2 linked regions of the Coturnix japonica genome follow. The main gene of each other region encodes a partner of the protein of the gene in region 2 in a complex. Links are inferred from orthologs where the notes say so. Each region holds a gene or a part of one and is shown on either strand. Other genes may lie near its edges.

The links. The genes of interacting proteins can lie anywhere in the genome.
Region 1: the proteins of KCND2 (region 2) and KCNIP1 are in contact, whole or in part, in a cryo-EM structure (PDB 7E8E), measured with the Homo sapiens proteins. The link is inferred for Coturnix japonica from reciprocal best matches to the Homo sapiens genes KCND2 and KCNIP1. Residues at the interface, in NP_036413.1 of Homo sapiens: Ala2, Val5, Ala7, Trp8, Pro10, Phe11, Ala12, Arg13, Ala14, Ala15, Ala16, Ile17, Gly18, Trp19, Met20, Pro21, Val22, Ala23, Ser24, Gly25, Met27, Ala29, Pro30, Gln33, Arg35, Lys36, Arg37, Thr38, Gln39, Asp40; in NP_001030009.1 of Homo sapiens: Thr60, Arg62, Glu63, Val66, Leu67, Arg69, Gly70, Phe71, Asn73, Glu74, Phe85, Ile88, Tyr89, Gln91, Phe92, Tyr101, Leu105, Phe109, Phe122, Leu126, Leu129, Leu130, Lys137, Thr141, Leu144, Tyr145, Val162, Ile165, His185, Phe189.

What each region holds. Positions count from the first base shown.
Region 1 is NC_029528.1:13,395,156-13,406,036, reverse strand, and holds the end of KCNIP1 (Kv channel-interacting protein 1), read right to left. Parts: intron 8,670-10,881; coding exon 8,600-8,669; intron 8,061-8,599; coding exon 7,990-8,060; intron 6,675-7,989; coding exon 6,567-6,674; intron 6,020-6,566; coding exon 5,915-6,019; intron 5,402-5,914; coding exon 5,339-5,401; intron 4,580-5,338; coding exon 4,532-4,579; 3' UTR 4,270-4,531; downstream 1-4,269. UniProt on the Homo sapiens protein: Regulatory subunit of Kv4/D (Shal)-type voltage-gated rapidly inactivating A-type potassium channels. Regulates channel density, inactivation kinetics and rate of recovery from inactivation in a calcium-dependent and isoform-specific manner.
Region 2 is NC_029516.1:21,134,420-21,145,300, forward strand, and holds the end of KCND2 (potassium voltage-gated channel subfamily D member 2), read right to left. Parts: intron 9,624-10,881; coding exon 9,376-9,623; intron 7,856-9,375; coding exon 7,678-7,855; 3' UTR 4,568-7,677; downstream 1-4,567. Other genes in the region: TSPAN12 (tetraspanin-12), read left to right, coding at 338-643. UniProt on the Homo sapiens protein: Voltage-gated potassium channel that mediates transmembrane potassium transport in excitable membranes, primarily in the brain. Mediates the major part of the dendritic A-type current I(SA) in brain neurons.

The sequences.
Region 1 (10,881 bases), on a different chromosome or scaffold from region 2:
CAAATCTTCATATACGTATCTACACCTATACAGATATATATCGTCTAGTAAAATTTCTTCTGCAATCCTCCATGTGCCAGAATGGATGTTTTCAACAAACCAGAGATAAAGGGACATGGAGAGCTTTATTTTTCATCTCTCTACAATAAAGTGGTGCTTTCACGTTCTTCATTGTAGTCCCCGTTACCTGGATGTACTCGAGCAAAATGCCAAAGAGAAAACAAAGATGTCTATAAGTGTTTAGTTTTTACTGTTCCAAAATACTACTGGTGAAGCAGGTTGAGCATTTCCAAGCTCTGATTCACACCAGAGACAAACAGAGGTGTACATCACCACACCCAACAGACAAGCACCCCCGATCAGCAATGGAAACAAGTCATTACCATGTAAACGTTGCTTGAGCAGTTTAACAGCCCATATGCAGACTGATATGAGGTTCCATCAGCCTCCTTTGTAAAGACCTGACTGCACATTGTTAACCTGACAGCATCTCGTAAGAGAAAAATACATACTGGGTGTACAGGAAGACGCCCTCCTTCAGACATGTAGTTTTTATTATTAAAATCCACATCTTTAAAACCATTCAACAAAATTTAATACAAACTGCCATCGGATAACAGCATTTTTAATAGAAGCGATGCACCGCCGCTCCACCAGCATGGCTTTAGTTTGCACGACTGACACCAGCAGCACTTTGCCACAAGTCTTTCATGGCACACCCACGAGCAACGAGCTGCTGCCATCTTAGCAGTGATCACACACAGACATGAAGGTGCTCTGCTCTTACCGTGTGCTGCAGCCAGGCAATGCCAAAGTCCTGCCCGCGGCGCCGGAACCTTCAAACATCCGCACCCTCAGGTTTGCAACTCAACATACAGTTACTGACAGTATTGCAATGCGTAACAGGAAAACATACATTGACAACAACAGACAGATTACATTGTTTGCATTTTTTTTTTTGCATCATCATTCATCATATTCCTATCTTTCAACAGATGGTTGCCTAAAGCACATGTTAGAAAGGCTCTTTTCAGAAAACGCTGGCATGAAAATGCAGATTAATGCTCGCAAGTAGTGAAACAGTCAGACTTACAATGCAAGACATTACTGAAACATCCACAGCTTCAAGGAAATGTGCACAGCTGAGAGCACTGGCGGAGTCTGACTGTACCTTAGCAGGCGGCGCAGCAGCCACCTTCACATAACTGGCAGGAGGATTGATGGCGAGATGAGATCAGAACAGTATACTATGTTTTATTTAGAAAGCCGTAGCGGTAAGTATTTGCCATAAATATTGCAAGCCTCATTTATGAGCGATGAGAGGCTTTGCAAGCTTACAAACTAACGTTCACCGAGAACATAAAAGGCAAACCCAAAGACATTTCCATGCAGAGTACGACTCTCTCACAGTCACTGGATCTCAGTCACCTGCCACACGCGTAGATGCTGCTCATGGAAAGCCCTGAGGCCCTCGGGCACTGATGCACACAAGCCTCTGGCTGCTATCAGTGGGATTCGTAGACAAACACAGGAGATTAAATGGTTTCACAAAGGCAACTGCTCTGTCACAGCCAGAATTTACGATCAGAGCTACAGGAAATACTGCTGTTGTGCGTCACGTGGCAAATCCTCCTATTGCAGCAACAGACTTACAATCACAGAATTGTCTGAGTTGGAAGGAACCCTTTAAGGACATCTGGTCCAACTCCCTGCACTGAACAGGGACACCTGCACTAAATCGGGTGCTCAGAGCCCCATCCAGCCTGACCTTGAGCGTCTCCAGCAGTGCTGCATCCATCTCATCTCTGAGCTCTGATTATGGCTTAGGGGCAGAGTCAGGACCAGAGCAGCTTCCAGCATCTCCCTCTCTTCCTAATGCATTACTGGGAACTGAAAAAAACCTACAGCAGCGCAGAAGAGGAGATACCAAAAGCATAAGGGCACTAATAGTAGCCTGGCTTCAGCAATGCACTTAAAGATACATTGAGAGTAACATGCAGATGTTTCAGGTACGTTGCTCAGTCAGGCTGTACTTGAACCAGAGCAGTCCTGGTCCATGGGACACAACACTTCTGTTAGAGGAGGCTGAAAACACAACTGAGGCCAAATTCATCAGAGTGGCCCAAAATATTACCTTAGCTCCAGGGACTGCAAGTATCACATGGCTAATAACGTTTCTGTTCTAATGAAAAAGGCACATTCCAGTTCTGAGAAATATTCAGGCTACATATGCCATCTTGTGAGCACATTTGGAGCATCAGTGTTAGAGGTGAAAGACACTGAATAACTCAGCACAAATGGTTCCTTTCCCTTTTCTTTTTGGTCCAGTGAAGTTACCTGCTCAGACTGACAACAGACAAATGCTCTGCAGGGATGGAGGAGAAAAAAGCAGGTTGCTTGTTACACTGAATGCTGTTATTTGCCCAAGTGGTTACAAGAAGAATCATGAAGGAACGACATAAGTTTGGGGCATTATTCCAGCTACAGCTGATGTCCTTATCAAGTGCCTATATTAAACAAAAACCAAAGAGACAATACTGGACAGCTGGAAGACAAGGCTACTCTCATGGCACTGCATCCCCTTCTGTGAATCCCAGCACATCACTGGAGCTGCTCTGCTTCTGCTAGAAGGAATTAATTTGTGGTAACTGTGTGCAAGGCAGCCAAAAGGACAGACTAAAGTGTTATTCCTGCATACAAGTAACTCCCCTCAGCTGACCAGCTGTTTTGATGACAAGCGGTCAACTTGGGGGAAGAAAGCAAAGAACACATGGAAGAGTGTGCAGAAGCACAGTAAAAGGGATCATGTCCCATCTTAAGGAATACACACAGCATTACTCTAGTACCGATCAGACCTACTTCTACAACCAGGAATATTTCAATAGATTATTATTATTCTTTTTTAAATATAAAACATAGGGCTGCAGAAACTAGGCTTACTATATCTTTAGTGTTATAAAAAGCTTCCACTTACATAATATTTAAAATATATCTTCAGTGCCAACAGTGTATTTGCAATATAATATCTGACATAATAAAAATATATGCTTACTGGACAGGAAAGATGCTGGACTACAACAGGGGATTCTCCTTTGTGTGTGGTTTGTGCAGCTGGCACAGGTGGCTGCTCCCTCCTTCCCTTGGTTTCTCAACCATCATCTGCTTGGGAACAACCATTTTCCTTAAGAGTCCTCTGCAAAACAGGCTGACGTGTTCCTCATCAGACACATCTACTGGACATAATCCAACCTTGGTATAAATTCGTTACATGACTCTTCCTGCTTCACTCTTGAAAGAAACAAATCAACAATTCCCCACAGCAAAGCTTTTTGGGGTGTTAGTAAAGATCAGGACTTGTACGAGTCATGAAACTGCCCTGTGGGATACAGATTTTGCTCTAGAAAACGTTGAGCTACCCTGGCAGACATTCCTGATACTAACAGCAACCATGTAGGTGCCATTAATCTTATTTGGTACTCTGTGGGTGCCAGGGCCCTTATGTGGGAACGCAGCTGCACCACCCGGCCCTTTTCTGTCACAAGTAAATCTAGAAAGCTTAAATAAATCCACAGAGTAGAAAACACTTTGCTTTAACATCTAATGGAGAAATACAAATGTTCAAGTGATGCATCTAGAAAGCAGGTGCCAAACTACAGCAAAAGGATCATCACATACGGCCATGGTGCTGCTGAGGTGCACAATGGAGAACTGCTAAGTGTCCCACAACACACTGGGACTGCAGAAGGTGGCTGCAACCAGAGCAGGTATGCATCTTTCTCTGCCAGCCCTTATAAACCTACCTGGTCCTGCAACAACTTACCATCAGAAATCAGATTTGCTCTACAGTTTGAAATGTAAGTGCTACTCATGCTTTGCTCCTTTCTGACTAACCCTGGCATGAAGTTCCTCTAGTTCATGCGCTCAGGAATAGCTCCACCAGCCTCAGCGTGGTGGCACCAGTGCATGTGAGAAGCGAGATCTCTGCAGAAATGGGGATGCTGGCTACATGGGCTGCCTGCTTAACGTCCTGGGTACATTCACTGTTCATTTTTACAGATGGCCCTTGTAGATTCTTTTTTTTCTTTTTTTCTCAAAGCAGATTAAAGGCAAGGCATCCAGAAAACATTCAGCCATATGGTTGTACGGACCGAGCTTTTTGCTTGTAATAGGTGGCTGAATATGCTATCAACATGAGCTATCATACGCAATCAAGCTTGCTAGACTAAAGCAGGACTTGTGGCTTGCAAACAGAATGCTGTATATTACTCATTGAGCTTCGAGCAGCAGCTCTCTCGTCAGGTTTTATTAAAGTATTTGCATGCTTCCAAAACAAAATAGAGGTCCACCGCTGTCTCTCGAGGAGGAGAGATGGGATCAGTTGCATTCAGTTGCCATTTGGTTGGAGATGTCATACAAAATCCTCACACGCTGGCTGAATAGAACATGGCTGAATTGTAAAAGGCTTTCACCCAGAAAGGAGGTCTTTGTTACACACGCAGTCTCTGACTCTTCCTGTGCTTTCCAGGCATGGTTACATTACGTTCTCAAAGAGCTGTAAGGACCGCATGATATTGTCATCCTGAAAGCAACGAGAAGACATGTTCATGAAAGGAGCACTGAGGAACACAACTCCTAACCTGGCAGGGCACAGAAGGGGGCTCTGCAGTCAACAGCCTTGCTTTCCATTTCAGTGAGCTTAAATGGATTCAGCAGTTAGGTCCTGATTCAGAAAAGCAGTGCTTTTACTTCAGCACCTTGACTGCTTTGAGGCATGCAAGCACAGAACTTTCTCCTAAGCTTGGCTTGCAGCATGGGTTGTGCTTCATTGAAGAAAAGCTGAACCAGCACTGAAGCTGCGCCCTCAGACATAGGCACCCATTGCTCTGCACTGATCCTGAATATGAAGGTGTGTATTTAGCTCCATCTGCCTCTAAAGCCCAAATGAAATGACAGCTTTGAATGGACAAACATGCTGCCATGAAGGACCACATCCTCACAGAAACACCTCGGGTTCAAAACAAGAATGCATGAAATCCCAGCCTCTCTCAGGCCCCTGGTCCAAATGAGAGAGTTGGAGACGTATAAGGGAAAGACCAGATTGTTTCTCAAGAAGCACTGAAAGTGTACTTAGAATTATTCTGGTTATTACTTCAAAGAAACAATGACATGTTTCCCTATAAACTCAGTTATTCCAACACTCAGAATAACTGCAACACCAAAATTATGTTCCAAATTGAGCAACTTCAGAGATCTACAGCATCATTCCTCCATCTTCTTAGGAATGATGGCCTCGTGGCATGTCCTGCACCTTTTGTTGAGCTTAGCATTTCATCCTTACCTCCTGACACGATTCGATAAACTCATCTAAAGTTACAACACCATCTTTGTTTTTATCCATTTTCTGCAAAATAAAAACAAGCATTTAGTTCCCATAGATAACACGGTGGTTCTTGTACAACATCTTATGTGCTGTAACTTGAATAAACCTAGGGCATGTGACCTACATTACAGACTTAGTATCACTGGTTAAATTTGCTGGCAGCTAAAGACTGGTTCACTCTTGTATTTGGAGAACTTTGGTCATCTCCACTTGTACCTTTCTTATACACATGCAGCAACCTCTGCTCATATTACATGATTTATTTCTTCACTGCCTTACCATATTATTGCTGTCTGTCTTTATGGACAGTTGATAGGAGAAGCACCAAATGACTGTGATACATGCCATTGCAAAGGTTTGGGCTAAGTCAGAAAGGATACCTCAGACTCAAGAATTCAGCAGGCACTGTAGTGCTCGGTTGCTACTAGAATTTGTTTTAGGATGTACAGTAGGAAACAGCAAGACAGCTGGGATTAATCTTAAAGTGCATCAGTGAATAGCTCAGGTGTTGGGAAGTCATCAGAAATCAAGTACCTGGAAGAACATTTCTACGTGCTGCCTTGGAGCATCTTCCTTCAGCACTGGGTACGTGTACTTTCCCATCATATCATAGATTGCCTTTACTATATCCATCATCTCCTGCAGTAGTGACATGACAAGAGAAGCACAACAGGGAAATTAATAGAAATGATAGCACATTTATTTCACTTCCCTTTTCTTCACATTCTCCTGTTAACAAAACAGCACAGATCTCATACCCATATCTGCTGTCAGCCCCAAGAACACATGCATGCAGACAGATGCATCATCAGATACATGCTAACCTATAAATCCGGGGGGCTTGTGGTGCTCTGGGTGAGCCCACATCACACCTCCCAGTGCAGCCAGAAGCCCCTTATATGCCTTGGTCACTGAGTACCTGCTGTCATCATCCCCTCCCCCTCAAAGTACTGCATTGCTCATAGATTAAACCAGGATTTTTCCCCAGGTAAGAGCCAACCATTAAAGCCAGCATAACCATAGGAAAATGCATCTATAATACAATCACTTTGCACTTTTTTAGACAGAAAAACACTCAGGTCCAGTTTCTATGTTTGATGAACTCTATGCAACATTAATTGTGCTACGCAACAGAAACAAGTCAGCTGTCATAGAAATCAACCACATTTGTCACAAACAGCCCTACCTCCTTGTTTATGTAGCCATCCTTATTTATGTCGTACAGGTTAAACGTCCACCTTAGCTTTTCATGAACTGTTCCCCGCAACAGAATGGACAACGCCATCACAAAATCCTGGTTTGAAGCAGAGAGAGAAATGAGAATCTGAGTCTCCTTTCCCGAGTCAAATCCCTCACTACATCCACTGAGGGAGTTCCCTTTCTAGGATGAATGTATCCTCTCTGACTGAACTCAATGGACACAGCACTCGCTGAGATGACCCGAGCAGTGTTAATAAATGTGTAAGAGGTAACTGGGAACAACCCCAACAGTCCTCAATTACTCTACTGTGCATCCCTCTCTGTGCCCACCTTGAGAGGGATGGCCAGATTCCTCTGCCACACAGGGAAGCTCAGGTTTTGTCCTCTGGCAAAACACAACACATTTAGCCAGGTGTGTTTCCCACCTCTACTAACTCAATCTGGGACATGGTATTTTGTTTGCATTTTCGGTTTACAGCGGAGTTATTGCTTCCAATAACACTGATTTATTGTTTGTGCTGCACAATGGTTCAGCAGCACTGCTGTATTTGTTATTATAGGCAGAGCTTTAAGTTAAAGCAACTACATTCTACCTGGTGCCTCATTTAACACACTTGGTCTGCCCTGTGTCATCTCCACTGGCTCTGCATGGGCAGAGCACCGCTTCCTAAAGACCTTTGTTCCTTTTTACCCACACTCAAGAGAAATTAAAGTCTGCTGAACAATACAAAAAAGGGGACAAAATGCTTACATTTGATAACCACCAAAGAGACCGATTTGCCAGGAAGGAAAGCTCAGCGTTTTTTAATATACTTGTCTAAGCATTTTGCTGTGGGTCAGTCCATTTAGGATTCTGGAAGTCTCATAAAGCTCTCCACGAAGAGCTGCTACAGGCAGAACTCCCACTGCAGCCATCACTACAGAGATGCATTTACATACAGCAACCTTCCCACATTTGATCAACAATTTCTCTGTCACACCTTGGACTAATGAGGATTTGGCCAGTTTGATTTTCCAGGAACATACACATGAAACCCTGCAATGCATGACAGTTGCAGGAAGCGTGAGCTTCTCTGGTCCTTCTTATCTGTGCCACTCACTGGTCTCTGCTCACATGGGACTTTTAGAGCCCTCTGCTTTCTGCTACATAAACCTCTACACTTTCTCCGTGTGGTATTAACACTCCTATGCTACTGACTAATGGTCTGTTTGTTTCTCCAGTTTTCCACTGGAATCCAATCCATCTGCATGAGAAGCCTGCGTTAAACAGAATGAGATTTGGACGTTTCAGCTTGTCGTAGCCCTCCATAGCCCAGCAAATCCCATAGTTTACAATGAAGAATGGATAGGGAAGCTAAAACACACAGACCCGAGAAAAAGGGCATTAAGACAGGACCCAAAACAGTTACCTCAAACTTCACTGAGCCATTCTGTGCAGTGTCAAATGCGTTAAAGAGATAATGTGCATACATGCTAGCATCTGGAAAACACAAAAGGCATCGATTGGTACAACAGCTCCTTATACACCACTGGCTCTCAGCAACTTCTCATTCAGCATAAAGCCATCCTTAATGCACTGCCACTCTGTGAGTCAGCAAACATTAACATAGACTTGCAGAAACCACAACCCCATCCCACTGAATGCAAAAGTTTTTATTGCACAGAGCATGATCTGGATTGTGGGGCAGTGCTTGCAAGAAAGAATGCAAAAAGAAGCACACGAGCCTATCTCCAGAGCCAATGCAGCATTAGCTCCAGCAGCAACTCCATCTCACAGCAGCACATTGCTCTGTGGCTGATGACTACTGGCAATCTCTAACATGGGTTTGCCTTTATTCCTGTTACCCAGCTGTTCAAAGGGCCTTCATCAATGTTCTTTCCTTGCTCGCGTTTTTGTGCAAGATCCTACAGCCCTTACCTCACTTTCCTAGCACAGAGTATCCAAGCAGCTTTGCAGCCAGGTGACAACAATGAATGTTAAGGAACGCTTCAATAAACCTAACAAAGCATCCAGCTTACCTCCATGAGGAAAAAACTGTGCATAGATCTGTTTGAATGTCTCTTCATTAACCACCCCGCTAGGACATTCCTGTTGGAAAAAAAAGAAACAAAATCCAATCAAAACACACACCCCAGCTTCATGTTAAGGTTCATTTGCAAAACTGCATGAGCCCAAAGAGAGCAATTAGACAGATCACACCCCTGCTCCCACAGCACTCCGGATGCTTGAGCTGCACAGCTGAAGAAATTAAAACAATTCAGATTTCACTCCAAGCATCTCACAGATTTGGTTCGCCATTATCAACATTGTTAACGGTGTTTTCAGCAGTGTTTAATTCCTTTTTTTTAAACAGATGACAGCCAGCTCGTGTTTTCTGTCACACAAAGGCCTCCTTTAATACATCACAAATCACTGCCAGCTAACACTTCCCTGCCCCATCCCTCTATATTAGCCCCAAGTAGCCAGATACCCCCACACCAGCTCCATGGAGGCTAACAGTACATGCCAACAAATTCTCAAACACAAGCACTGGTATGAGGCTTGAAACTAGATCATCACTTCAGGACAGCCCAAATAAAATTCAGGACCAGGTTTAGTTTTGCTGTGTGCCTCAATCCAGAGGCTTAATTAAAAAGCAAACCCCAAATCTCACAAACCAAGGCAAGTCAGCACCAGGATGTAGCTTTATCTCCCAGTCAGCCACCCTGAACCACTGCCCATCCCTCTGCACAGAATAACCTCCACTGTTCCTATTTAGACTCAGAGATCCAAAGCCTTATCTTGTTCAAAGGCCCCATTTGCATGACTTTGTTTAAAAGCTCATCCATCCTGTGATATAGCATACTTGAGTTCAACCACAGTTATATTTTTACCCAACCAGCACAAGTGACAAAATCCATTGTCAACTGCTGCTTACAGGACGTTGAACTTGGGATGAGCAAACTCAGGAAGCCTGAGAAAATCCCTTTGAATCCATGACACAAAGTCAGAGGAAGATTCAAGCCAGTGAGTTATTGATGAGTTCTTTAGGTTGTCTTTTAAGAACAAAAGGACCTTGACAAGAAATTCTGCCATCAAGAAAAGCTTATTAACAGAAAATATGTCTGATCTGCAGCGTCACCTGCTGCTGACGCGCATTCCCCAGCCACGGGAAGGGCAGAACAAAGAAATCACTTCATCCTATGTGAGTCACAGGAGAGCAAGGAGGGGCACTTCTGGCAACACCAAAAGCACCCCCCTTCCTCACCACTACAATGCTTTAAGACAGTTTATAACTACAGGGACTACCTATTATGCATCAAACCTTCAGGAGCGCAGTACTGACACTGATCGCCCTGTTTAGCTGTACATAACAGGCTGATTTCAGACACATACGTTACTAGCAATTCATTTGTGCTTAACTGATCACCATTTTGTTTTGTAAGAGTCGAATAAAGCTCAAGAGGCCTCATTAATGCTACAGCACATCTTAAGGCAGCTGACTCGAAAGAAATCTCTCCTGTGAAAAGGAGCAGATAAACTCTGTGCCAGTTGAAATTCCACTGAAGGCAGCAGAGGTTTCCTCATGCAAGGGAAATTTCATAGCAGCATGAAACAGCACACCCCACTCCAATGCACACAAAGCTTTCCTTTGACAGCAGCGGGTTAAATTTCATGTAAATACCTCATTTTTGCTATTAAACCTATGAATTCTTCCCAAGTGTCTGACGTGAGAAGTGAACACTTGGTTTGTATTGTTGGCAAGCACAGAAACAATCCCAGCCTTTCCCAAAACCTCTCTACCAAGCACTGGCAGCATTCATCACATGTATGGATCGACCTTCTCCAACTTCTACAACACTACAGCAAAGCCAGCGTGCTCCCAACAATCCCTTCATTGTTTGGGGTTGCTGCTCTCTCAATGAATCTTTGCAAAGTGTCCCTTGCAGATGGCAGCCATTCCCCTAACAGAATCCCACTAACACCTGGCTGCTATGAATACAGCAGGACCAAGAAGGACCTCGTTCCTCCTGTGCTATTCCAAGTGCCTGCAGCCCTGTGGTAACCCAGCTGTTGCCTTGTGATTAAACACGACCTGTGCAATCAGTGAGAGCAAGCAGCATGAGCTGGAGAGAAAAATGACTGCATTCCCACAGGGACTTTGAATCTCCAGATGGCACTGTAACATCATCCCAAGAAACACACGGTTCAGTACAACAGGAAATATGGTAACAGCTGAGATAGCTTGCCTACTGTGCATAATTACTCATTCCATTGAAACCATGATTTATAGGATAGAAAAGCTATAGCTGCCCTTTCA
Region 2 (10,881 bases):
GGCAGCGCTGAGCTCTGCTCTGTGTGACAGTGACAGGGCCCGAGGGAACTGCATGGATCTGTGTCAGGGGAGGGGCTGCTGGGGGGTAGGAAAAGTTCTTCACCAGAGGGTGGCTGGGCATTCGAACAGGCTGCCCAGGGCAGTGATCACAGGGTCGTGGTCCCAAACTTCCAGAGTTCAAGAAGCATTTGGTCAGTGCTCACAGACATAGGGATTGGATTTTGGGTGCTGTTGTGCAGAGCTAGGATTTGAACTTGAGTCCAACTTGAGTTAAGCTTTGGGAACTGCAAGTCAGATAATATTGACTAATCACTTTCTGTCTATTTTTGTTTCATAGGGATGCGGTAAAAAAATGTACACATTTCTGAGGGGGACGAAGCAATTACAAGTACTGAGATTTCTTGGAATCTCTATTGGAGTAACACAGATTTTGGCTATGATCCTCACTATTACTTTACTGTGGGCTCTCTACTATGACAGAAGAGATCCTGGGGCAGATCAAATAATGTCCCTGAAGAACGATACCTCACAGCAACTGTCATGCCATTCTGTGGAGCTACTGAAACCAAGCTTAACAGGAATCTTTGAACATACATCTACAGCAAACAGCTTTAATACACACTTCGAAATGGAAGAATTGTAGGTGATACAATTAATCTAAAAAGTTACCAGGGTTTTAATTGTGTTTTTTGTTTGTTTGTTTGTTTTAAATTTTTTATTCTGTTCTATTAAGTATGCAAAATCGACCAGTTTTCCTGTGCTTCCAATACCAGTTAATGATTGATAAAGAGGCCTCTGTAGTAAGACAAATAAGCAACTGTCTGCCTTTCAGCCTCTTAAAAGAGCCATGAAACAGAATTAGTTTTGTTTTCTTGTTTGTTTGTTTTTAAGGCATTCATTCACAGGGCACAGTAACAGTAACTTATTGTTACAAGATGTGTAAAATACTGATGCATTCACACGTAGATGGACAGAACCTCTAAGGAAGCATCAAGATACTTGTCTTCTGAGATGACTGTGCGTTGGACAAACAAAATGTGACTTTACTGAAATTGACTTGTGCATTTTTAATAAGCCATTTGGAAAATATGTTAAAATAATCAGGGATCTGTGTATATAGAATTGTGTGTTTTTGTGTGTGCATGGATGACAGAACTATAATTCAAGTAAATACTTGGATTTAAAAAAAAATTGCAAAATCTGTAAAAAGGACAAGATTTTCTTTTTCTAACAAAACCTCTATCTTAGTTATTATTGTTAAAGATGATCTAAAACTTATATTTTTATGTAACTATGTGACTAATTTTTAAGTTTAAATGTATTAAAGAGGGATTAAAAGCAAAAATATGATTCTGGACAATAGACTTTAATTTTCTGAGTACTAGAGAATTCTCATTTCAAACAGTTTGTTCTGTGGACTGCTTCTTAGTAAAAAGAAAAGAACAAACCTAAGCATTCTTTCCAAAATGGGGATCAATATAGAGTAGCACATTTTTATAAATAAATCTTTTATTCTGTCTGTGATTCCCATGGAAAGAGAAACAAAAGACTACAAGGGGAATGCTTGTAGTCATTCAATTCCGGATGCTATTGAAGTAATTGTAAAAGTTCATAAGGAGAAATTATACTTTGGCTTGTACTTCATTAAGAGATCTCTAGCAGCTTAAAATGCCAACTGGAAACAGCATTAAAATGTATTTATTGAGGTGGGGAAAGTGCATTTTACTGTATTTTTATGAACAATGTTTATTTCATAGGATTATTTTTACATTCGGCCACGCTCCAGAAATATATACTTGTTCCACTGACTACAGTAGTTTGTGGCAAATGGGTTTTTACATGCTACATTTTAGAAATACTTGCTTTGTTTTTGAAATTTGTAAAAGAAAAGAAAATCAAGGTGTGATTTGATAGACAATAAAATCACTATTGTCTTAAATTCCATAGTGGGTTTTTTATTATGAAGACAGTGCGTGAATGCTTTGGTGACATTTGGGAAGGTTTTCCTGCTAATGTGATTTAATTTGATGCGTCTTTACCCATTCCACTTATTCTGTCATGAAGAAACTCAACTGTGAATTTTAGTTGCTTTTTTATTGTGTCTACGAAAGCTTCCAATGGATGGTGAAATTAAACTCTTCAATTGTGTGGGATGTTTGTTTTTCAGCAGTCTACCTGTGGGTGTAATTACTTCACAGGTACTGTTGCAAGCAAGATTACCTATTGCTTTTGTACCTCCCCTACAGAGATGCTAATATTTATTTTGGGAGATTAGAAAAAAGATAAAGGATAGAGCTTCCCATTTTTTTTTTTTTTTTTGCTTAAAATGACTTTCCAAGAAATACACCTTTATGCACCTTTCAGAAATTCATATGCCCAAAATTAATGCACATGTCCAGAAGATTTCTGTGTCCCCCTCCCCTTCCAGTTAGCCAGGGTGGCATTTCTGGAGCTACAGACAAGATTCCATGTAGGAAAAAAAAAGACATGTCCAAGATAGGGTGACCTGCAGTCACTCAGTGGGTTGGGCCAGTGCTGCTTGGTTTTCATTCCTCCTCAAAACCAAAATGAACAAAATCACATCAGCCAAAAGACAGAAAGTCAAACCACAAACTGTGTGGTGGATTGCAGTTTGTTGGATTGGGATTTTGTGCATTTTTGCCCCTCAGTGTTGTGGTTGAGGAATCATAAAATCATAGAGTCACCCAGGTTGGAAAAGACCTCCAATATCATCCAGTCCAACTGTTCACCTACCAGCTACATTTGTACACTAAAACAAGTCCCTCTGTAAAACATCTAAACATTTCTTTAATGCCTCCAAGGATGGGGACCATCTCTGGGCAGCCTGTTCCAGTGCCTGACCACTCTTTTGGAGGAAATTTTTTTCCAAGTGTCCAGCTTGAATCTCTCCTGGTGCAACTTGAAGCCATTCCCTCTAGTCTTCTATTGCTAGTTACGTGGCAGAATTGCCACAACATTCTTACAGTTGCCTCTTCTTCATACTGAACAATCCGAGAGAATGGGGATACTTCTTAGGAGGCAAAATTTGCTGTTCCTGGTCTTTGGACAAGATCTTGCTGTGTCTGCCAACAGAGCGTATAACAAGGCTTTATGGAGGAAACGTAACTGTTTTCTCTTTGTAACCGTGGATTTTGTAATAGTACTCTGTAAATCTAGGGGAAAATTATAAGGAGTGAATAGTAAAAAGAGACACTGTTGGTGACAGTGACTACACAGTTAAATTATGATTCAAGGAGGGATTTTAAAAATAGTTTTTAAAGCTTTTACCACTAAAGCATTGTGTTTAATTCACGTGAAATGAGATTGCATCTAAAACTGCAAAATCCAGGTATAATCTACTACATTTCTTTAAAAGCTCAGGATATCCTAAATACATCAAAATTTTTATTCATCTATTTGCATTTATTCATTACTCCCTCCTTTTCTTTGCTCCTTGTGCCTTGATACCAAGAAAATGAGTACTTGAATAGTAAATTGATACATAATACGGGCAAGTGAGAAATCAAAAACACTAGGTAATTAGGTATATCTTACAGTTCCAAATGTGGCTGTTGTTCACTCCTGACCGCTGTTCTGGCTCTCCATTTACATATCCAGTATCATTTTTGCTGTATAGTTACTGCTAATTGCTTTTCCAGAGTACCTGAACGTCCTCGGATATTTCCATGGTCAATGGCAAAATGAAACTGTTGTGGGCCCCAGATACAGGCAAGTGAGCACATTACTTCCTGAGTACCCTCCCTGTCCAAACCTTTATTATCCTGTCACTTTACTAGTCTATCCTCCTCCAGACCAATTTCCTCCTTGAATGTCACCCTTTCCCATACAGCAAGTTCAGCTCTCACTGCAAAGGAATTTAGCAGTGACTGTGTTTCTACAGTGAGTATATTTAAGCCCTCAAAAATCTTTATCCTCTGTAGACATTCTATGGGAAGGCCATCGTTCTTGTTAAAAATGTCCTGGGTTGGCTCAGCTCCTGATAAAGTTGGCTGTTATCCTTCTTATTGCTATGGTGTATGGCATCACCTGCAATGTCAGTTGCCCTCTGCAAAATGATTTGCAGTGTGTTTTTAGCTGCTTCCACGCTACAAAAGGACTTTGTTCACACATGTGCATGTGCACTAACATTTTATCAAGGGAATTTGATATCAGTCTTGAGGTGATTTTGTCACCTAGGATATGCATCCAGACAGTGACTGGATATGTTCATTTTCTAAGAAGTAAAGACAGAGTGGTAGATTTCATATTACTGAAAAGAATTCAGTGCCCCAGTTTTCTCTGCTGCTGCTGCAGGCTGGGCATGAAATAGCAAAGGGTTCCTTTAGCAGCTCTGTTAGCAAAGGGAGTGTGGAAGGGAAACATGGGCAGCTCCGTGGTGCAGCTCTGGCCGAGTGGTCTTGGTGACTCTTATGGTTTAGATGAGCTCAGATGTGCTTGCATGGAACTAGTATTGGGGGTCCTTGCCCCCAGATTCAGTGCTCTTTGAATCATGTTAGGAAAAGAAAAAGAAAAACAAGTTCCATGAATAAGTTATTGCAAAACTAGGTTGACCCATTCAAGCATGCAGATGTTTTATTTAAGTACTCCTCAAATGTCTATTTATTCAGCATAACACATGTATTATGCTGCCTTCTGAAATACGATATATGACTGTCAAACAAAATTGTCAAAAACAACAGCTTCGGTTTCTTTGTATGATACACAGAAATAATTACATTTCATGTACAGTACAGATGCATTTTACACAGTCATCAACAGTCATTCACTACCAAAACAGCATTTAAATCACCTAAAACACCAAAAGAATGTGTATTTTCCAAATTCAAAATAACGCAATGATCTCGCATGTGGCATGTGGAGATATGAGACAAGACTAGAATTCTGCAAAATCATACTAAATTATTCCCTAAACTGCAATTTAAGAATGAAGGTACAGGTTGGTTTTGGGATGTAACTAACTGTTATGCAAGTGTATTGCTCTAGTGCAATTCTTTTAGTCCATGCAAAAAGGAGAATAAAGAGCTTTTAAGAGACACGTGAACTGATGGAGTCAATAGGTTTCTTGGGTTGTATGTAATCTGTCCCAAACTGGGTTTGGTAACTGCCTTTTAACATTATTTAACTATGTTCCTACTCAAGAAGTACCATATGGCGTTAAGCTGCTGTTGCAGATATGCTAGTGTAAAGGCAGTTTTATGTCAATAGTTCTTTTAGCACAAGGTGGGGGCCAAGCCAGTTTTTTATGAGTGACCGTGGGTAGATGGAGGATGTAAGCATAAGCTCAAGGTCTGTTCTAGCTCTCATGTTAACCCCTTTAAACTTAGGTATCCCACCAGCTTCAGCAGATATACCACAGTTTTCTAACAGGGTAAAAGACAGGCATGCAACACAGCATAGCTGACATCAGAATGACTCAAAGTGAGTGTTCTTCTGTCAGAGGACAATCTGTGCTTCTGCTATCTGTTACAATCTGAAAGAAATTTAGAAGCTCGGTTTACAGTAAATTTTTCTGATTGGAACAAAAAGTGAGTTGATAACTGCAAATTAACCAAGCATCTGAATAAGCAAACAGTAGGAAAAAAAGCATAATGTATTACATTATATGCTCCTTTTGATTGCAATTCAATTCTAATAGGTGAAGTTGTTACATTTTGGTGTATATACTGTAGCATGATAGTCCATCATCTACTCTTCAGTCTCTGTTGACAGGTACAGAGAATTATGTGTGTGCAGTAAAAAGTGTCCTATCAGCAAGTTTCAGTTTTTAGTGGGTGTCATCTCCTAATGTAAAATTTAAGGTCAGTAGAATGCTAACAAATACTATATTGAAATATATACTACTCAAACTATTAAATAACTGTGTTAATCATTTATTGTAATGGCCTCTAATGTACCGAGTCTTTTGATTTATATGCATATTTTATTTTGCAGACATGCAATTATTTCTGATCCAGTGTTCTTGATGTATATATGTACGCACTGATATGCAAATATTCCATGTATATTTGATGTATAGGATGTATGGTAGTTTGTGTACATTCCTATGAAGCATTATGATACATCATCTAATGCACTCTCATGAAGAAAAGTGTCCTTTTTGTATCAGAAAGGTTTCTGCTAACACCAGTGTCTTCTAAAAATGAAGCCAAAAAACCTTAACTAAGAGAGCCTTCATAGTACCTGTTAGATCAGCCCACTGGAAAATTCCAATAGAAATCAGTCACATTTTTATAGCTTTGAGACCCAAACCATTATTTATCAGTGTTCTTAGAGAATTACATACCTTAACACAATATAAATCCTCAAACTAATTTTAGGATTCAAGTTAGTAGATAACTGCAAGAATAATTTTTCCATTGTTTTTACTGAATGTCTTTCAGCATCTTCCACTGCAGCCAACACTCTGTATGCTGCAGAACATCCATAGGGAAGGCTTAGAGAACAATGTTAGTTGATCTCCAAACTGCCTTTGTTCCAATCTCAATTTAAATAGGAGTGATCCTGCAACACTACACTTGGACAAGAGGTTTGTTCTGAAAATACAGAATGAGACAAGATGTCTGCAGAACTAAGGACTACGCCTGTTCATTAGCAGCCTTGAAATCCCAAACAGCATGGTAATGTTGGAGCAGACAATGAACTGTGATAGAAACAGAGGACAGAGGACAAAAAGAACAGTGACTGAATAGCACATTTGTGGTGCACGGTTTGGCTGTAAGATTATGTAGATATTTGCCATTAGACATTTATAGTGTAGATGAAGTTGTGTAAAATACCTTAAAGAAAAACAAATCCTGATTCCTGATACAACAGGTGTACAATGACTTATTGCAGTTGTAACAGTACCTAGGAAGCAAGATAAAACAATAGTAAATATTGAACTAACTGAACACCTTTAGTACACTAATGAGTGTTTGAATAAGAAACACTGCATTTTTCAAAGGGAAGTTATTTGTACAACTACCATGGAACATTAACAATCAGCTTGTTGTAAGTGCACAGAAATGCCCCTTTCTACAGTAATATTTTATCATGCCTAATCTGAAAAACAACAAAAGTAAACTGAGATCACAGCTCCAAATAATTTCAGCATGCATTATGGTTGTATTTCTTTCAGTCAGTACAAACATATTTCATTATGAGCATTTTTTCTTTTATTTATTTATTTTTTTAATAGTTTCTCAACAAGTTTGTGGTTTATTAACAGGAGGAAAAAAAGACAAGTTATCAAAATGTTTCTTGTTTTGCATTCAGCAGGAACACAGGTTTCTTTTTTTTTTTTGTTTTATGTGTACTTTTTCTTTTTTTTTTCATTTTTTTTCTCTCTTTTTTTTTTTCTTTCTAAAAAGAGCTCTCATGATAAGAAGAAGCATCAATGGGGACATTTCATTGTGCTCTACAGTAAGTCAGGATGGTCACAGAAACTTCCACTGTGTGTCAGTTCCAACACTATGTAGAAACTCCATTGTTTTCCACGCTGTGACACTGACAGCCACAAATTGTTGTGGTTCTCCTGAATGTCTCACTCCGTTGCTGCTGGCACACACATCAGGGGGTGTTGTCTTTGTCAGCTCTCTCATTCCTCAGGACTCGTTTCTCTCTGCAGAACTCAGCTTATAAGTGGTCTTTATTCTAATTTATAAATAATTCCTTATTTTATAAAGCGGATACTCTGACAATGTTTCCTCCTGAATACTCGGGAGACTCTGGCCTATCATCTCCTTCAGGCGTGGTGACGGGAGGTGTTGGGATGCTAATTATTGCTGTAGTGACGTAAGGCTGCTCACAGTTTAGTTTAACGCACTCTTCCACTTTGGCATTTAAGCTGGATCGGCTGGAGGAAGAAACAAGAACTCATGAAGAAAGCAAGTCCATATTCCTGCACACCTGATGTGTGCTCAGTGCAATCCTCTCTGCCCTGCCTTGTTATGGAGTTCAGAGGGACATAGTGGCACTGGGCCCCTACCAACACCTACCCCAGGAGCAGGCGGCCCAGGGCTATGGCCTTTCCCCCCTTTTTTCCCACCTTCTACGCTTCTAAAAGTTTCTCAGCTCATCACCTAAGTGTTTCTGAGCATTTGGGCTGCTCACTGGAGAGCAAACAGCATCGACAAATGCCTCACATTGCAGGGAAGCAGAAACTAAGTGAAATTCCCCGTACCCTACTGAATCCCCGATGTCATCTTTATGTAAGAGCCTTTGTACATTACATACCGTCAGTAGTAAGATGCAGTGATACGAACACAAATTGTTTGAGTTAGTGAAACTCAGCATAATAAGAAACTTAAAGCTAACTCACAAAAGGTGAGACTGGCAGTTCAAACTTTGTTGTTATTTAGTTTTTTTTTTTCTTTTTCTTTTCTTTTTTTTTTTTTTTTTCCTCTCACTGTGTTAGTTATTCTGTGATGGGATGTGCGGTGCAAGAAAGTCTGCCAGCAGAGAAAGGATGGGTCCAGGCAATCCAAGATAGATTGGAGCTCTGTGGTGACCAAGAGCTGAAAAACTCCATTAGCTACAAGCTGCTGAATTATTCATAGAATTGAAATCCAAACCTAATAACTATTTAAAGCAAGCTACTCAAAATGTCACTTAAAAAGTGAATCTTTCTAGTAACTCATGATGAGAACACATCTTTTTTAAATGGCAGCACATCTGAGTTCAACATTTCTGAGCCCTCTGATGCCTTTGTTATGTTCTCAAGAGATGGTGCTCAGATACACCTAAAAGTCAAACAGTATATTTGTGAGAGTACAGAGATTTTCAATAAATTGCAAACTTAAACTGTACATTCCTCACTTTTGTAATAACTACTCAAAATACATTTTTCTTACCCATTTCATACTTTCTGTTTGGTAGAGACCTTCTTATTACTACAGCGCTTACGACTCTGGCAATCTACTTTTATTTCCCTTTTCTCTCCCTTATTTGGAAGTGTAATTTGTGCTACGTTTCTGAACTAAATAAACAGCATATTTTTCGTTTATTCCCCATTTGCTTGTCTTGTGTATGAGAACTGCACATTTTTCTGTGCTTTTTCTTCTTCTGTGTTTGCCTGTGAGCTGTACTGTTTGGTATTTTATATCATTTGGAGTCCCTGGATGCTATTCTCTGCAAAGAGCACACAACGGTTTATGGGGAGGACATAAGAGGGCAGAAATGAGAAGAGACTGACTATTCTTTTACCTTAGAATTACATTAGGAGAAAGCAGAGTGTGGGCTATTTCAGGACTACTGTCCATTCTAGATGACAATTTCAGTTTTATCTGCAGCCTCCCAGGCTATTTGTGGAGGCCAAAGCGTATTCCTAGTAAACAAATAGGTTTCAGCTCCTTGTGCGCTGATGCTAAGAAGTACCTGTTAGACAGAGGTGTCCTCTCTACACATCTGATCTGGATGGTACTGAGCTCCTGTACGCTGCCGTGGCGGCTGCCCGTGAGGGCAGTGTTGGGGATGCGGTACGTCTTTTTATGTCTTCGTGAGCAGCAAGTGCCAGTGACGCCTTGTTGGGATGAAAGAGAGGGGCTGTGGCTCGGGGGTCGATTGACTGTAGAAACCTCCATGCAGCTCTCTTCATAAAGCTGTTCATCCACAAACTCATGATTCTAGCACAAAGGAACCCAGCAAAGGGACAAAGCACACACAGAAAGTTAATTAAAATGGACATATTAAGTATGCTTACTTAAAGGCTTAAATCGGTACCACTGAATAAATCAGTAAAGTTAGACAGCTTAGTTTTGATTACAGTGTTTAGCCCATAGTAGCCTGGGCTGAATACCAGTACGAATGTAAACACTGGAACAAAACTCTCAAGGTACTTAGCTATGAAAAAATAACCCAAGTTCTTTTGTAAAACCATATCGTAGGCTGCGCTATGAATGTCTGTTATCTGAGGAGTGCCAGAAAATGGGGGATTATGTTTATTTGTAAATATAAAAGTGGTGCTTATGTAAATGCCCTAAATGCCATTGAGAAATAGGATTTGCTGAACAAAACTAGAGTAAAATTGATAAATATTTCTCAGATGACTTCATAATACGTCAGTTTTGGATTACACATTAGAAAGCAGGATTTGAAGCACTGTTTCAAGGTATGCATGTATGTAATAGAAAAAGAATCAAATAAATATACCCTTTGTTTGCAGGAGATAGTGAAACAGTTATATAAAACCATTCAGTATGCTCCTCATTACTGCAGATCTAAATATCAAAATCAGTTCTGAAGATGGAGTGTTTCATTAAATAAGGTCTTTGTCCTTGCGATCCTTGCTTAATCCCAGCACAGACAAAAATTCAGTAATTTCATAGGGTTGTCCTAGAACTGAATCTAGATTCAAGCAAACGGCAATTTACGTTGACTTGGTAAGTGAGTGGGGATTGCTTCACATTAAGCTGTGATTTCCACATTTTGAAACAGTGAAGCAGTGGTGCTGATAATAGGAAGAGACTAAATAAAGAAAGAATATACACATATTTATATGTATTCAAAGCAGCAGCCCAAACTAAACTGAGATTAAGACACATTCACATGCACTTACGGAAAGCCTCCTTTTTTCTAACCTCTTTGAAGTTATCAATGGAATTATCTACATATCCTGGCAATGTTTAGGGGCTATGCTCTGTTTCACACTCTTCCCAGTGTCATTCACGTCAGGTTTGTTAGCCTGCTGCATGTTTATCTATTGGAAAGAGAAAAAACTATCTTCCCCTCAAAGAAGGACTCACTAATTAGAAAGATGCTCACGTTTCCCAGGAGAATTGTGGTACAGTGCAAATATAAAATATGTGAGCAAAATAAATAGTGTATCAGCTGCAGCCAACTGTTGATAAAAATGGAAACACCTTCATAGGCTTATCATCATTT